Canis lupus familiaris: one gene and its partners. The protein of the gene in region 2 interacts with the protein of the main gene of each other region in a pairwise test. Links are inferred from orthologs where the notes say so. Each region holds a gene or a part of one and is shown on either strand. Other genes may lie near its edges.

Region 1 (3,528 bases), on a different chromosome or scaffold from region 2:
TCCTTTAAATCTCTTATAATCCCTTGTCACGTCTTACCAAGAGTGTGGCCCACATAAGCAGCCTTTCTAATTCTGTGGCCTACTGAGCAAACTTAGCTGCCCTCCCGTGGGTTAAAATATCATCCATTACCATCAAGGCCAAGTTCAAATGCTACCTTATAACTTACCTGAAAGATGTTTGAAATGGCATCTAGAATAACCAGAATAATTTTGGTATCTTTTGCAGTTAAGAGGTTCATCAATGGTTCTATTATGCCACAATGAACGAGGTATACAATCTGTTCAACTGTTCCACCACTTGTATAGTTGGTCACAGCCCATACAGCTTCCTTTTGTGTCTTAAAGTCTGCCTAATAAGCATAAGGAAACAAGTTTAATTCAGAACAATTGTAAAAATAGGATCCCAAAAGTATGGTTATAGAAAAACAACTCTAACTACCAACAGATTCCATCTAATCTTAAGTGAAGGAGGTTACTGGCCACTATTTAGCAAAAGGACTCTAGGTAGAATCCAATATTGGCACATTAAGAATCTTATCAAGCACAGCTCTACCAAATGTCCATCCATAAATACTAACATTCTTTGACTAAATACTAAGACTTCATTACCTTAGAGAGAACACCAACGAGGAATGGGACTAATCCATGATTCACAACTTGCTGTATCTGGTCCTGGCGACCAGCTGTGATGTTTGACATCGTCCATGTAGCTTCCTTCTGAATATTAGTTTTGGGGTTCGTTAGCAGGCTAGGAAAGACAGCAAGTGCTCCTGCATCTATTACAACCTGAGTCTGTTCATCTGTCCCAGTGACAATATTTCCTATGGCTCTTAGTGCAGGAGTCTGAAAAGAAAAAGAAAAGAAAAAAAAGTTGATGCCAGTGGTTATCTTTTATTTTTTCCAGCACTGCTCAAAAACTCTATAAAGGTTCTGACAAATCAGAGGCCCATCATGGCCTAAAATAGGCAATGTCAATTGTTAGTATCAACTGACCATGCTTAAGGTTTAATATTTTTAGCTAAAAGTTAAAAACTTACCACAATGGGTAATTCAGTAGCTCCTAAAAGCTTCACAAGTTGGGGCACAACTCCTGTTTTCACAACCATTTCAATCCGTTCATTTGGACCATCAGTAAGGTAGGAAATGGCCCAGCAGGTATCTGCTAATACTTCTGGATCATCATGATGCAGGAGACGAACTAAGGTAGGAAGAATCTGCTCAACAGCATCTAACGGGGGTGCTGGATTCTTGTTGCGACAAAGGTTTGAGAGTGTCCAAGTAAGGTTACGTAAGTAACCACACTGAGGGGAAAGAAAAATGCAGTGAGAACTCCTGTGTATTTTCAGGGGGTGGGAAAAAATAAGAATCAAGAAGTAAACTAACTTATTAGTAACTTACTGCTAAAGATGACATATCAGGAACTGCAAGGAGAGCCAACAGTGGGTCAACTGCACCATACTTGATAACCAAGTCTCGAAAAACTGAACCATCACCTAAAAAAAGGCAAGGTTAATTATAACCTACTTGTCTAGCACCATCAATATTCAATGACTGAGTTCACCAGTGTCCTAACGCAAACACAATACTCTCGGAAATTCCCTAACTTACTTATATGCCATTAGCAGCCCTGATAAGCACTGGAAGCAAACAAGTTTAAATCTTAACACACAGGTCACTCTTACTTATGGACAAGGCACTTCTCCCAACCTCAGTATGATCAGAGATAGTCCAAAGAATTTTATTTATTTTTTTAAAAAGACTTTACTTATTTATTCATGAGAGACAGAAAGAGAGAGAGGCAGAGACATAGGCAGATGGAGAAGCAGGCTCAAGGCAGGGAGCCTAATGTGGGAATCGATCCTGGGAATCCAGGATCACTCCCTGGGCCAAAGGCAGGTGCTAAACCACTCAGCCACCCAGGGATCCCAGTCCAAAGAATTTTAAATCCAAGTACCTGCAATGTTTCCTAGAGCCCATACAGCTTGTTCACTGATGTGGGCATGGGAAGATGCCAACAGAGAAATGAATGCTGGGATAGCACCTCCATCGACCACAGCCTTGGTCTGTTCTGATGTCCCAGAAGCAATGTTAGTGAGGGCCCAAGCAGATTCAAACTGAATAGGACTACAATCAGTTCTGCCCAAGAAGGACACAAATTTTGGAATCAAACCAGCCCGGATTATGTTGTCTATGGGGGGCTGTTTTTCCCTAGAAAGCAGTTTCCTAAGGGTAAACAAAAAAAGAAACAAAGTTGAAAATGATTAACAAAAGTAGTTTGTGTAAAAATCAATTTAAAATGCAACTTAAGAGTTTAGAGCTAATGCACTATATGTTGACATATCCCGGAACTTAAGGGAGATGAACAGACTGGTTGCATAGTATGACCACATATGGTGTCTTTAACTACCTTTTTTCCCCCAAAATAAAATATTACCAATAATGGAAATTTGCTATTCCCCCAGAAAACTACTTTAGATCTTTTTACTTTAAAACTGACAGAATTACACTGCCATTCTTAATTTGTGTTTCCTTATCTACTAGTGAGGTTAAACATCTTTTCCTTCGTTATTTGTCACTTGGATTGTTTTTTAGTACACTGTCAAAATACAGAAATTACTCATTCTTTCTGTTAATGGATGTCACAAATATTTGTATTTGATAAAAGTTAAGAGTAAGCACACCCATGTGTTTGGGCCCATGGATGTGCCAATCCCATTTACTAAGTAATTCCTCCTTTCTCTATACCAACCTTGGTTGGTGCCACCTTGACAAAAACTGTTAATTTACTCAAAAAGTACACCAAAAGGTTAATAGCAATTATCACTGCGGGGGTGAGTAGGACTTCAGGCAATTATAGAAAAATCATACTTTCTTTCACCTAAGGGAAGATTCTAATGCAAACAGCCTTATGACCAACTTAACCTTCATTTTACTGTGCCATCTGTCTCTTTCCCATCAAAAAATCCTAAAGGGCTGATATCTTAGGTTACCCATGCTATAGCAGAAAAGACTTACCTAGCAGCTTGAGTAGCCTGGAGCTGGCTTTCCAAATTGTTGCTATTTATGCCTTTGACAATGTCATCAACAGACCAATTTACAGTGCCCTGCAAGGAGAGTGTGACTAATTTCAAATGATCTCTTTTAAGATTAAATATAAGCAATAAAATCCTTACTTGCCATTGTGAAGACATTTTTAGATTTATAATCAGGTACTAAAAGTTTAGCCTTACATTTAATTTTGGCTATCAATCAATTATTCATGGTTTTGTATGCAGAATAGTGCCAAAACTTGGTATATGACTCACTGGAATCTCCAGTTGTGGAGTATCATCCCAGCATCTCATCAGTAAAAGGAGACTGCAAACAATTTAATAAATGAAATTCAAGCAGTCTGAAGACTGGTCCTACAGTCTCAATCACTTGCATTTAGATATGCTGTTAGGAAGAAAGGGATGGAGTTATATAGGCAGTGTGCTGGAGATTTTCATATGTAAGCTTATAATCTATGCATTTCCATAGTACAGGGCT
Region 2 (3,652 bases):
GGGGGGGGTCCTGCGGGCTGAGTGCGCTCAGGCATCCTTTTTCTCCAGTAAAATTTTGTGCAACTCGTCCGCATCCTCGCCCGTTTTTACCCGGATTAACATGGTGACTGGGGCGGCGGCATTCTTCTCATCGATGGGCGGATTTGGAACGCACACGATGAGGACGTTGTTCTTCCCTGTCCGGGTACATGGCATGTTGGGTGGAATCAGGACATTCAGCAGTATGTTGCCTACATCCAAACAAAGGGGAAAGTACATGAGAATCACGTAAACCGCACGAAAGGTCCACGACCGCAGCTTCACGTGCTCCACATAAAATCCAGAAACCTACGCTGAATGGACCCAGGACCAGAGCCATCAGCAGGGTGGTGAAGAGGGGGATGGGTGCCCTGCCGCACACGCCAGCACTATGTCCCTCAGAGAGGGCCAAGGCCTCACCCTGGAGCCACCGTCCTCTCCCACCCTCCCGTGTGCCGTCGCAGCAGCCAGCCCTGTCTGAGGTGTCCATTCTCGCAGTAAAGGAGGAACACGTTAGCACGACCTGGAGCCTCACCAGGTCATTGGAACAAATGCAGAGTGGTTAGTGACAAAACCTCTCTGTTGCAGAGCCAGCACGGCTGACTGGGTAAGAGCGCCATCACGGTGACAGCATCACCCACGAGTCAAGCCCACAGGTAAGAAAAGCGCTGCCCAGAAGTTTCTGCAACCCTGCCAGCAGGACCTAGTGTCACCCATCACTTCCTCTTCAACCCACCCTGGCCCCCAGCCCCAGCTCCTCCAGGCACCCCGACCCTGCTTCCAGTGGGTTGTTCTCAGGGTGAGGCTGGGGCGAAGGGGAGCCCGCAATGTGTTCATGGTCATTTCCTACACAAAGCAGATTCCTTTAAATGGTTAATTCCCCTTCTGTGTTTATTAAACCATCCAATTTACCTATAGCTTCCTAGTCACATTTCTAACACAAAGTAAAACAAAAACCTGGTTACAAAGTAAAACAAAAACCATCCTGGTTACTTCTTTTAACACATCTACATTTTCTTACACACTGTTACGCTGGCACTCAATTAAGTCGTAAATAATCAGTAAATACAGGATGGATTTGATCTGAATGACTGCTATTCTATCCCCCAAAGCACATCAATATCTGAAAATCCCAATGACCAGAATCAGCAAGGGCTTTTACATACCATGTAGTTAGCGTTATCTTGTGCCACCTGAGAAACAAGATACCCACCTAAATTGGTGTCCGCCCGCACTAACAGTTGTGTCTTCTGATTCGCTGTAGGTTTTAAATGCAAAGTACCCACACCTTTCTCTTTAAATTCGTTGTCTTTCTTGTAAAAGAGTTTACACCTACGGAGAAAAAGAAGAGAGGCCATCAGATACTCAACAGACAAGTTTTCTAAGAATCGCTGTTCACATTGAGAGGAAATCTTTGATTCAGACTGAGTCTGGGTACAAACCAGAAGAAGAAAGTCTGGTTATATATTCTAGGACCCCTGCCTATTTCTCCCAACTTAAAAAAAAAAAACACTTTCTGAAGCCACCTATTCTCAATTCAGTCACAACCACAGCTGAACACCCTAACCTTTCTGATGTGCCCCTTTGGCCCTGAGCTCAAGAGGCTGACCTGAACAAACACAGGACCCTCTGCCCCGTATCTCTCTTCCCCTTTTTCCTATTTATTTTTGAATTTTCTTTAGGACTCCTCCAATTTTTGATCTACCAAAATACTGAAAATTTTGGAAAACTCTCATGGGCAAGGCCTGACAATAATATTATCAAAAATCTCCCCAGCTGTGTCGCGCATCCCCTTAGGTTGTTAATACACCAAGTAAAACCACTGTCTGCTCCTTTAATTTATTCTAATTAGGAAAAAAATCTTAAGTCAGAGTCACTCCTTTATGTCACCTGCATAATTAAATTTAAAGAGCAAAAGGAGGGCAGCCCGGGTGGCTCAGCAGTTTATCACCACCTTCAGCCCAGGGTGTGATCCTGGGCTGAAGGTGGTGAACCCGGGGTTGAGTCCCACGTCGGGCTCCCTGCATGGAGCCTGCTTCTCCCTCTGCCTGTGTCTCTGCCTCTCTCTCTCTGTCTCCCTCATGAATAAAATCTTAAAAAAAAAAAACAAAAAAAAAACAAAAAAAACAAAAACAACACCAAAGGAACTGTTGGATTCCTAGAAGTTCTCAGAAAGAATTACACTTGGGAATTCCATAGGCTATGGTGATTGTTATGAACACTGCTGACTCTGAAATTTCTGTATTTAGGAAAATACATTCAGGGAAGCTTCTAAAATGACACAATTGACTCTTTAAATACGTTTGTTAAAAAGTACTAATTTCATTTCAATGGGATGAGATAATTCAAAATTTCTCCTTAGCTTTCTTCTGAAAGCGACAGCTCTCATATAAGAACAAGAATAAACACAGAACCAAAACCACTCTCATCACGGGGTTGTGGGGGGGACAAAGGGCCTATCAGTATGCAGAACTTTTTGGCTGAGAAAACCCACAAAAGCCAAACAGACCTCCAAGAGGGAGATGATGCCTCCCGAGGAGGAGCAGTAAAAGTAAAAAAGCAAAGGTGAAGCCAACGACGAGGAGACTTTGTACAGGAAGGAGATGGGGTTGGATGGTCAAAGAAAAGCCTGTCTCTAAAGGACTGTAGAAGCCAAGAAAAAACAGAAATACTAGAAAAGAGTAGAAATGCCTAGCAGAAAACTTCTAGAATCTGTTTGTTTTCAAATGAAGGGTCAAGATTTCTCCCTCGGTCCTATCCCAAGAGCAGGCACAGGCTGATCCCTGGAGCCCCTGGGACAGGATGCTCAGCAATTTCTGTGGGGATGAGGTCACCCTGGAAGCCACCTTCCCCATCTCTGAACACACGCTCACCACGTAAGTCCCCAGGACTCTTACTCACTTTTTGGAGTAAAAAGCATCTTCTTCTTTTACTTCAGTAACTACTACTTTAGGTGGCTCATCATTCTCTTCTTCATCTCCGCCTTTTATAAAAACGACACTAATTCAGTAAAATTCAAATCAACATCTTTAAAATGCTAACAAAAGAAGTCATCCATCCCCCAACGCCTCAACCTAAATTTTCCCTATAAGCAGGTACAGAAATTGAACACACACACATCTAATGGGGGTGGGAGGAAGGGGGCTCACTGGATTTTATTTTGTGAAAAATCAAAATGACTTTTAATGGGAACATACTTCTCTCTCCTACATGTTAATTTGTAGAAAGCCCTGGAATAAAATATTGTCGATGCTCATGATTCAGTGCACAAATTTTAACAGAAAAATCAACACCCACATATACTCAAGATCTCCCACAGAAAATGAAAATCTCAGGCTTCTAATACCTTTGTCCCCAAATTCTCACATGACCCTGTGTGTGTCATACTAAGGAATGATCAGTATCAGCAATGGCCAAACAAGAGGAAGACAATAAAACTGTTAATGGGGCAGGTTGTCAGAGAAACCAGCCCCAAGAGTGAGCAAACTGCCTCTGCGTGGCCCCACCTTGAGAGGCTCGGTACTGGGTGCCCTCCCTGACGGAGTCCCAGCCCCAGCCCGAGCCCCAGCCCAGGGGAGATCCAAGACATTGATGCAAACTAGCCTCCAGAGAGACGGTCTCAGGACACACACTA
Region 3 (3,652 bases), on a different chromosome or scaffold from region 2:
AACCCTAAGGGGTTCCCCCCAAAGACTTGAAAGTTCCCTATCAAAATGCTTGCATGTGAAGGAAACTGCTTTCATTCAGAAACTGTTAAGAAACTCTCTCACCTTTGCAAACTCTGGGGGTGGGTTCTTTCCTCTGCAGAGGTTTGATAGAGCCCAGACTGCATTCCGTGTCATTGTCAGTCTTGTGGACTTAGTAAGGAGTCTGAAGGAAACAGCAAAGCCAGACAGATCCTGAGCAATGATGACCTTGGCATGGGGCTGTCACCTATGAACCCCAGGAGCAAATCCAGTAAGACCCCTAAGACTCTGGCAGCCTCACTGTGTTCTTCTACCCACAGACCTAAGTAAACTAAGCTTGTTTGGGCCAAGAGGCCAATCTACACCTTCACAGAGGATTAGAACCAGCTGTGGCTAGTTAGGACCATAGCTTGTAAGGACAAAGAGCAAGCTGGAAGTTGAGTAAGACTGCAAACCTTTTTAAGATAGGGCATATTGTGCTCCTAAATGGCCACAAGTTTTTTTTTTTTTTTTTTTTTTTTTTAATGTTTATTTATTTATGATAGTCACAGAGAGAGAAAGAGAGAGAGGCAGAGACACAGACAGAGGGAGAAGCAGGCTCCATGCACCGGAAGCCCGACGTGGGATTCGATCCCGGGTCTCCAGGATCGTGCCCTGGGCCAAAGGCAGGCGCCAAACCGCTGCGCCACCCAGGGATCCCCCTAAATGGCCACAAGTTTTAAACGACGAGTATACTGTTCTCTTTGGAAATCAATGCTGAATATCTAGTATAAGGGCTTTAGCCATGCAGTAAGCAATGACTTTCTGTGAAAGGCCCAAGAAAGAGTTATAGTGGTAGTCTCTGAAGAACAGCTCATCCCTGGGCAGCCCTGGTGGCGCAGCGGTTTAGCGCCCCCTGCAGCCCGGAGTATGATCCTGGAGACCCTGGATCGAGTCCCACATCGGGCTTCCTGCATGGAGCCTGCTACTCCCTCTGCCTGTGTCTCTGCCTCTCTCTCGCTCTCTCTTAATGAATAAATAAATAAATCTTAAAAAAAAAAAAAAAGAACAGCTTATCCCATCTATTGTTTAGATACTCTATTTGAAGGGTATGGGAGGGAGGGATTGGAGAAGGATCCCTATGTCTTTTTTTTTTTTTTTTTTAATGATAGTCACAGAGAGAGAGAGGCAGAGACATAGGCAGAGGGAGAAGCAGGCTCCATGCACCAGGAGCCCGATGTGGGATTCGATCCCGGGTCTCCAGGACCGTGCCCTGGGCCAAAGGCAGGCGCTAAACCGCTGCGCCACCCAGGGATCCCCCTATGTCCTTTCATGGTGTCTTTAATCTGTGGTTTACAACAGAGCTCTCCAATGTACCTAGGCATAAAATAACAAATTAATGCATCTGTAGAGAAAGTTGCATTTTTCTATATGGGTTAGTCTTGCCTCTCTCTCCTGGCTCAACAATGAGGCAAGTAAGTATGACCAACATGAGAATCTACTGTGCAATGAAGAAAGGAAACAGAAGCTCCTCCTTGGCACAGACCAGTGGCACAATCTTCTTACTCTCAAAAAGAAATACTTTTAGTGTTTTTTTGCATTTACTTAACATCTTAAGGTAAGCTGCCCCCAAAGGATCTACCACATGGCTGCCTTATAGATGATGTCCCAGGTATAGATGATCATAATTACTCACGTTAACAAAGGATTAAGGATGGAACAGTTCAAGACGTAATCTCGGCAAACGGAGCTGTCTCCAGCTATGTTTCCCAGTGCCCAGACTGCCTGAAAAGGGGATGATGGAACTGTCATGCAGAGACAAATGGCTTCTGTCCATATTTTATACAAGAGTGAGGACACACCAATAACTTAGACAAAAACCATATCGAGGCCTGAGATATCCTGAACAGGATCAGGTCCTCTCTTTGCTGACGTCCTTACTGAGCTTGCTCTATGAAGGTCTTTCCTCGGAGAATTTCTGATTTAGTGGGAAAGACAGGCTGACATCCGTACTGCAGCCAAAGAAGCCAAACCAAGACCTCCCTATGCCTACTTCCCAGAAAAAAGAGAAAGTGAGAAGTTGCATTCCTGCAGCCTCACAGGATCTATCCTATATGTAGTAAGTGAGGAAAAAAAAAAAATCTAGGCGCCACGTTCTACATTCTATCCAATCAGTAAAAATCCACTGGAAGAAATTAAGTTGTCTTAATCACTGTGATATCTAGGTACTGATAAATGGGTACTGTGATGTTTTTGTTTTTTTCCCCCCAATACCACCTCTGATGCCAAATATGTGGAGTTTTTTTCTACACCAGCAATCAATTCTCCAACACCATTTGTATGTCCAACAATCCAACTCAATTGTGACACTCTTAGACTTAGTGCAGACCCTACAGGTTAAGGGCTCAGGCCCATGAGACTGTCTCCACTTCAGACACCAGTTGCAAAAAAAACAAAAAACAAACAAACAAAAAAAGACACCAGTTGCAATTCCCAAGTGTTGCCATGCTTCTGACCAACTGGCTATAAATTCAAAAGTTCCCATAATTCCCTTCTTAGGTTCAGTAATTCACTAGAATGATTCACAGAACTCAGGGAAAAACTGCTTACATTTACTAGCTTACTCTAATGGATACAGCTCAGAAGAGCTAAATGGAAGAGATGCATAGGGCAAGGTATGGGGTGAGCAGTCAGGGCGGTATGGAACTTCCATCCCCTCTCTAGGGCACCACACCAATGTGTTCACCAACCCAGAATTTCTCTGCAGGAGGCTGGGATAGAGGCATTGGTAGAGCTGGGAGTTCTGATAACTACTCTCCTCATGTTGAGGTTGCCTAGGGGCCCCACTCAATCATCTCATTAGGTGTGTTCCATCATAAATAATAAAAAACACACTCTTCACTCAGAAAATTCCAAGGTTTTTAGTAGTTTTTAGGAACTGGGTACAAAAACCAAACTTTTTAAAATTATAATATAGGTACCATCAGGAATTAAGCCAAATTTGGGCGTTACCTGTTCCTGTACATCCTCAAAGTCCGAGTTAAGCAGCTCTATAAAAATGGGGACTGCCCCTGCTTCAATGACAATCTTCGTCTGCTGAGAGGTTCCAGAGGCAATGTTCGTTAGAGCCCAGGCAGCTTCAAACTGCAAGTGAGATCAGACCGCTATTCAGAGATCATTCCAGAGTGGCCATGTCTGCAGCTGGTTGAGAGCTGTAAGCCTCTTGCCCCTGACCAAAAAACTAAAATATGAGCCTTTTCCTCTTCCCCCTTATTTTTATCTTAAGTAGCCTCCATATCCAGCATGGAGCCTAATGCAGGGCTTGAACTTACGACTCTGAGATCAAGACCTGAGTTGAGACAGAGTTGGATTCTCAAATGACTGAGCCACCACACAGGAACTACTTCCTCTTACTTTTTAAATAGCAAAAAGCAGGGGCACCTGGCTGGTTTCAGTCAGTGGAGCATGCAATTCTTGATCTTGGGGTTGTGAGTAATCACTACACTTAAGTGATTACTTACAAATAAAAATCTTTATTTAAAAACAAATTTTTAAAAAAAGGGATGCCTGGGATGCTCAGTGGTTAAGCACCTGCCTTTGCCCCAGGGTGTGATCCTGGAGTCCCGGCATCGAGTCCCACATCAGGCTCCCGGCA

What was found.
Region 1: the proteins of NUP50 (region 2) and KPNA2 interact in binary tests that used the Homo sapiens proteins (3 or more experiments, as listed by UniProt). The two-hybrid records come from large-scale screens. The link is inferred for Canis lupus familiaris from reciprocal best matches to the Homo sapiens genes NUP50 and KPNA2.
Region 3: the proteins of NUP50 (region 2) and KPNA6 interact in binary tests that used the Homo sapiens proteins (3 or more experiments, as listed by UniProt). The two-hybrid records come from large-scale screens. The link is inferred for Canis lupus familiaris from reciprocal best matches to the Homo sapiens genes NUP50 and KPNA6.

Annotation. Positions count from the first base shown.
Region 1 is NC_049230.1:14,372,362-14,375,889, reverse strand, and holds part of KPNA2 (importin subunit alpha-1), read right to left. Parts: intron 3,105-3,528; coding exon 3,016-3,104; intron 2,224-3,015; coding exon 1,955-2,223; intron 1,494-1,954; coding exon 1,399-1,493; intron 1,302-1,398; coding exon 1,038-1,301; intron 844-1,037; coding exon 610-843; intron 351-609; coding exon 168-350; intron 1-167.
Region 2 is NC_049231.1:21,781,624-21,785,275, forward strand, and holds part of NUP50 (nuclear pore complex protein Nup50), read right to left. Parts: intron 3,002-3,652; coding exon 2,920-3,001; intron 1,351-2,919; coding exon 1,232-1,350; intron 231-1,231; coding exon 28-230; 3' UTR 1-27. UniProt on the Homo sapiens protein: Component of the nuclear pore complex that has a direct role in nuclear protein import. Actively displaces NLSs from importin-alpha, and facilitates disassembly of the importin-alpha:beta-cargo complex and importin recycling.
Region 3 is NC_049223.1:68,434,465-68,438,116, forward strand, and holds part of KPNA6 (importin subunit alpha-7), read right to left. Parts: intron 3,142-3,652; coding exon 3,010-3,141; intron 1,783-3,009; coding exon 1,694-1,782; intron 203-1,693; coding exon 103-202; intron 1-102. UniProt on the Homo sapiens protein: Functions in nuclear protein import as an adapter protein for nuclear receptor KPNB1. Binds specifically and directly to substrates containing either a simple or bipartite NLS motif.